Linked DNA regions of Saccharomyces cerevisiae S288C. The main gene of each other region encodes a partner of the protein of the gene in region 2 in a complex. Each region holds a gene or a part of one and is shown on either strand. Other genes may lie near its edges.

Region 1 (3,272 bases), on a different chromosome or scaffold from region 2:
AAGGAATATGCATGCTTTGTAAATTCAGAAACTAGCAAAAACTCCTATAGTGACAAAATTATCAAAGAACTTAATCACACAGAGTTTTTTGAGTCTTCCACCTACCCCAAACAGCAGTTGAGAGTCATACACCACTCATTAAATGATAAGAAAATTCTATTGACAAAGGGCACGTACGATTACCCATTCACTTTTACCCTTCAAGCAAATACTTTCCCAGCAAGTTTCTCTTCCTTCTTTGGCAAGACCCATTTTCGAATAGAAAGCTTAACAACAATAATGAGAATACCAAGTAAACCTAAAAACTTACTCAAATTTTTGAAGAATGAAAGTTTTACAGATAAGATCATTTTAACAGAAGAAATTAAAGTTAAAAGAGTCCTGCCTTCAACGAGTATGCTTAAGTTTGAAACATTTCAATTAAGGTCATACAATACTGCAAGTGAGATCGTAGTATCGGTCATTGGAAACTCCAAGTTGATTGAAATTGGTATGCCTTTCCAAATGATATTATCAATTACCAAAACAGATTCTTCCATTGAATTACAGGAAGCTTCTTTGGCAGTTGCACAGAGAATGGCAATACCAAGTATTGATTTGAAGACCAAGAAAATACTACGAGAGCCATACATTAAAAAGTCCGAGTATTTACTAAGAACTGTAGAAAGCCAAAGTTTCGATTCCGACAAGACCATTTTCGGATTTTGCTTTGATGACGTTGTCATCCCAACCTATGCGGATGGTCTACCGAGCTGGTTTAAAACATTCTACTGTGAACCAAGTTCATTTTATCCCAATCATGCTGCCCTCAAAGTAACTCATTTGCTTTTGTTCAGAATAACCTATAGCAGGAATGAATTGGTGGAAGGGCTTGAAATGAAAAAAAATTATCGTATTACGGTGAATTTTCCAATTTTAGTTGGCGATAGTGATATTTCGACCAGCTCTTTGTTACCCAAATATGAAAAATTTGAAAATATTAGTGATCTACAAGATGAACCCCCACTATATTCTATGGTAGCAGGTGAGAATAGCTTATGAATGTTCGGTACCTCAGAACAACGCCTCTATTTTATCCTTTTTTTTTTTATTTGCATGATATACATATACTATTTTTTATTAGTTTCTTATTCTACTATGTATTTACGTAACAATAAATTTACAGGTCTCTCTTTTTGTAAGTATCTTGCACGCTGATATCTATAATACTACTTCACAAGTTGATCAGCTTCCGAGATAGACATTTTATGTATCAAGTCGCCATGTCCGTTCTCTACTGGCCGGTGTATATTATGATATTTCGACCGGTTCTAATACATAAGCACCGCCCACTCTGAGGAGAAGACATTTTTACAAGAATTACTAGCCATATTTTCCCTTGTCAAATTAGAGAAGGAAAAATTACTTGAAACATCCCGTGTTTGGGCACTAAAAGTATATCAATAGGAGCTGAAGAACACTACACTAGACTCTCTTGGCGTGAAGGCCTTATTATGTGAACTTTCGTAGGTTTGACTTTTACTACCAGTATGAAAAAGGTTAGAGTTTATTCAATCAAATGGAAAAGTTTTACAACTGAGCTAGTGATCTCCAAATGAGGTAGCAAGTAACAGTCGTATGTATCCCATACATTTATGTATCCCATATATTTCATTACATGGTGATGCTTTCTTTTATTCGCGGAGTAAAGTTCCTTAAAGTGAAAAAAAAAAAAAGACGAATTGACAAGACAATAATACAAGCACCACTAAAAGACCTATCGTTATTGTTGTCAAAGTAGACGGTAAACCATACAAGAAACAGATTTCATAGATCAATAGGTAAAGATGTTCAAGAGGCAATTATCGACTAGTGTTCGTTATCTACAGCATTATGATGAGTCGCTATTATCAAGGTACTATCCTGAAAGTCTTTTAAAATCCATAAAACTTGCTCAACAAACGATACCAGAAGATACTAAATTCAGAGTATCTCGTAACGTGGAATTCGCACCACCATATTTGGATGATTTTACCAAAATACATCCTTTTTGGGATTACAAACCAGGCATGCCCCATCTCCACGCTCAAGAGGAGAATAATAACTTCAGCATCTTTAGATGGGACCAGGTACAACAACCATTACCAGGCGAAGGTAACATTCTGCCTCCAGGAGTCAGCTTACCAAACGATGGTGGTCGGAAATCGAAAAGCGCCGATGTAGCTGCAGGGCTACACAAGCAAACCGGTGTAGATCCGGATTATATCACTAGAAAGTTGACTATGAAGCCGCTGGTGATGAAAAGAGTGTCAAATCAGACTGGGAAGGGTAAAATTGCGTCTTTCTATGCCTTGGTTGTCGTTGGTGACAAAAACGGTATGGTAGGTTTGGGAGAAGGTAAATCTCGTGAAGAAATGTCCAAAGCGATCTTTAAAGCTCATTGGGATGCGGTAAGGAACCTGAAGGAAATACCTAGGTATGAAAACAGAACTATTTATGGTGATATAGATTTTAGGTATCATGGTGTGAAACTACATTTAAGAAGTGCAAAACCAGGGTTTGGATTACGTGTAAACCATGTAATCTTTGAGATTTGTGAATGTGCAGGTATCAAAGATCTGAGTGGGAAAGTATATAAATCCAGAAACGATATGAATATAGCTAAAGGTACCATCGAGGCTTTCACGAAAGCTCAAAAGACATTGGATGAGGTTGCCCTGGGTAGAGGCAAAAAGCTTGTTGATGTCAGGAAAGTTTACTATTCAAGCTGAAATACTATGTACATACACACGCACCATTATCTCTCGTTTTACATAAGTAAATACAGCAATAATAATACCTGTAAATATCTCAACATACTCAATCAAATGAGCTGATAAGCATATTCAATTTTTCTTCATAGCAATATTTTTTTCTGTCCAAGTTTTATTTTTTTTCCATAATTTCTGATTTACTACCATTGAAAATTATAAAAGGAAAAATATTACGCGCTACCATTTAATAAGTAGAAACAACTAAGTTCTCGAATGAGATGTTTGCACTGATACAGCGAGCCAAAAAATAACCAAATGACTGCTACTAGCGACAAAGTACTAAAGATTCAATTGCGCTCAGCAAGCGCTACTGTACCTACCAAAGGTTCTGCCACTGCCGCGGGATACGACATTTATGCATCTCAGGATATTACCATTCCGGCTATGGGTCAAGGTATGGTTTCCACCGACATATCGTTCACCGTACCTGTTGGTACCTACGGTCGTATTGCGCCAAGGTCAGGCCTGGCAGTGAAAAAC
Region 2 (3,400 bases):
AGCTTGCAGGTGATCGGAGAGTCGCATTTATGGTTTCATGCGGTGATATATAATTAGAAGGACGGTCATTAAAATGTGCACTCCTCGTGCGCACAGCAAAGTTATGCAGTGGGTAGCACTTTCGAGTTTTCAAATTAAGCATTTTGCTGTCTTCGTAAATGTTTCCTGGAATATTTCTGAGGCCCGCGATACGGCTTAGCCTATTTATTTCCATAGACACTCCAGGGCTTTTGAAGCTTTCTGATGGATTTAACTTTTTCTCCTTTTCGTTTGTCATGAACGGATTAAACTGGGCAATATCTTTAACCTGGCTACTCTTGCTGATTTCATTTTTTTTTACTGGATTACTAACTGTCGCAGAGCTTGTGGGCGGAAACATATACTCTGTTGAGGAGAAGCTATTCGATATACCACTATCTAGAACGCTCCCGATCTTTGTGCCCTGAATTTCAGCGTTTTTTTGAAATATATTTGATGTTATAGGTTGTAGTGAGTTTTTCTTGACGGCGCAGCACCTCTCATTCAAAGAACGTGAGTTTCCATCCATACGTTCATCATAAGTTGTAGTTTCCTCCTTCGTGCCTAAAACTTCATCATTAATTAGGTCAATATTAATTGTGCCTGTAACCAAACTGCCGCTATTCAAAATCGATATTGGCTCCACTGCACATTGTTGAGATTTACTGTTTTTAAGATTCGTATGGAGATCGCTTAAATTGGTGTGTCCATTTTTTGATGTGTATGCATTGGCAGAAACATTCCTAGATGTAAGAATATTCTTTTCCTCATCCATGACAAGAAAGAGCCGCATTCCAGGTTCATTTTGTTTCCGACGTTTAGGATCGGGTATGTGTTGACTGTTCTTATCAAAGTAATTTTTCTTATCACTCTTTTCAATAACCTTATTCTTACTTATAGTTTTAGTATTCGATAATTTGCTAACGATAGCAGTATTCTTACTCTTTGGAGTACAAATGTCGGAATCCCTCGTATTTTTATACCGGTATTTTTTATGATTAGATGCTCTCTTCGCAAATTCACAGGCAGTTATCAATAGTGCTAAATTCAAAGTCATTGGGAATGCACAATTTTCCAGTTGCTTTTGCAACTGTGGCTCCAATTTTGTGAGGAATAGATCCAACGCAGCACCAGAAGACAGATAATATGGAGTTAGACGTCCCGATTTATGGGCAAATGCTTCTAATGACTTCTCAGAATCAATGGACAACGTCAATAGTTCCGTAAAAATTTCCCTTCTTAAAGATCTTGCTCCATCAAATTCTTCTGATAGTAGAGCAAGAAATTTTTCAAAACTGTAAGCCTTTATCACATGGTCATCGATTCCCTCCGTTGTAGAATCAAACCATGTCTTAGCCCGGCCGGATAATGCAGAGCTTATAAGAAGTTTCAAAAACGTTCCTGTACAGCATAGTCCAAATAAGATATCTGTAATATCATCGGCCCATTGGACGAATATATTGTTATCATCACCGTCTTCAGCACTGAATTTTTTCAGATGACTCACTTTATCTAGCATTTTGAACGCTTGTTCATCGTCATCAATCTGTCTTGTAACACAAAAATTATTACACGCTATGGGCAAAGTTTCGCTCCTCTTTCTACGTCCACTGTGTCCCTTCTTGCTTCGCGGCGGCAGGGTATTTCCATTAGCTATTGTATCACTATAGTTATTAGTTCCCGACTCGTATGCCATGTTTTTGGATCTCATTTGCACCATTAAGCAAAAAGAATCTGTTGAACGAGGACCCTAACCCAAGACAGCTAATATACTGCTTTTTTATGACATTTTTCATTTGGTCTTCATTCTTGCGCATCTTCTTTGAGAGTTGAAATTTCTTTGATACTTCGGCAATTACAGAAAAGTGCAAGTTACAAGCAATAAAACCAATAATATTTAGATACTGCACAAAAGTCTAAGAAAATAACCTCATTAGAAGCTTGGAAAAGGAAGAAGGACATTGCGCACCATTCAAGAAGAAGATCTTAGAATTCTGAGAAATGAAGATACAAACAAATGCTGTAAACGTCCTTCAACGGACGTCCGCTTACTTGAAATCAGGATTGTTGAAAGAAACACCTGCGTGGTACAACGTTGTAGCGTCTATCCCACCATCAACCAAGTTTACACGTGAACCTCGTTTTAAGAATCCTTCCAATGGACACATCATAGGAAAACTTGTTGACGTAACAGAACAACCGCATGCCAACAATAAGGGACTTTACAAGACAAGACCCAACTCGAGCGACAAAAGGGTGGGCGTGAAAAGGCTGTACAGGCCACCTAAACTAACATACGTTGAGGATAGGCTCAGATCGCTCTTTTACAAACAACATCCATGGGAGTTGTCGAGACCTAAGATTTTAGTGGAAAACGAAATTGGTGATGAAAACTACGATTGGAGCCATATGCTTCAGATAGGAAGACCACTCGATGGTGAAAGTGTTATCCAGCGAACTATGTACTTAATCAAAACGAAGCAGTATGGGGACATGGTCGAAGCATATGACCATGCCAGATATGAATTCTATGCGTTGAGAATGCAAGAAGAAACAGAGCAGCAAGTGGCTTTGGAAGAAGCGGAGATGTTCGGATCCCTCTTTGGAGTTTCTGCCATTGAACATGGTATACAAAAGGAACAAGAGGTCCTAGACGTCTGGGAAAAGAAGGTAGTTGAAGAAACTGAACTAATGGCAGCAAGGACAAGTAACCCTGCAGGGTCGTGGAAGGACGACACTACATTGAATACGGCGCAAGAAGAAGAATCCACCACTTCCGAGAACCTCCACTTCTAGGTGGGCTGCCTCTTTTCTCCAACGTCACCTAACCAACCTGTATATAATTAAAAACAAACGAGAACAACACATGTAGTGCTAAGTAATTGTCGTTCTCAAATTCCACCTCGATTTTTTCAACTGCACTGAAAATTCCCACTCTTTTTTTTTTTTTTTTTTTTTTTTTTCACTTTTTTCCCGTGGAAAAATATTCTTAAGATGACTCTAATTAGAGGAAAGAACAACAAGAAACTAAACTGGTTCTACAGTTATATAAGGACATCTTAACTGATTTAGAATTAGCTAAGACTGTATCTATGCGATTATTATATTAGTGCGACATATTTATATAACTAAGATAGTAACGCACTCAAAAAGATGTTTAGATCTGTTGCTACTAGATTATCTGCCTGCCGTGGGTTAGCATCTAACGCTGCTCGCAAATCACTCACTATTGGTCTTATCCCCGGTGACGGTATCGGTAAGGAAGTCATTCCTGCTGGTAAGCAAGTTTTGGAAAACCTTAACTCCAAGCACGGCCTAAGCTTCAACTTTATTGATCTCTACGCCGGTTTCCAAACATTCCAAGAAACAGGAAAGGCGTTGC

The links.
Region 1: RSM25 (region 2) and MRPS5 share a complex: the UniProt entries of both Saccharomyces cerevisiae proteins name them as parts of the mitochondrial small ribosomal subunit.

Annotation. Positions count from the first base shown.
Region 1 is NC_001134.8:719,564-722,835, forward strand, and holds MRPS5 (mitochondrial 37S ribosomal protein uS5m MRPS5), read left to right. Parts: upstream 1-1,826; coding exon 1,827-2,750; downstream 2,751-3,272. Other genes in the region: SPO23 (Spo23p), read left to right, coding at 1-1,041; DUT1 (bifunctional dITP/dUTP diphosphatase), read left to right, coding at 3,048-3,272. UniProt on the Saccharomyces cerevisiae protein: Component of the mitochondrial ribosome (mitoribosome), a dedicated translation machinery responsible for the synthesis of mitochondrial genome-encoded proteins, including at least some of the essential transmembrane subunits of the mitochondrial respiratory chain.
Region 2 is NC_001141.2:187,404-190,803, reverse strand, and holds RSM25 (mitochondrial 37S ribosomal protein mS23 RSM25), read left to right. Parts: upstream 1-2,019; coding exon 2,020-2,814; downstream 2,815-3,400. Other genes in the region: YIL092W (uncharacterized protein), read right to left, coding at 1-1,738; LYS12 (homoisocitrate dehydrogenase), read left to right, coding at 3,172-3,400. UniProt on the Saccharomyces cerevisiae protein: Component of the mitochondrial ribosome (mitoribosome), a dedicated translation machinery responsible for the synthesis of mitochondrial genome-encoded proteins, including at least some of the essential transmembrane subunits of the mitochondrial respiratory chain.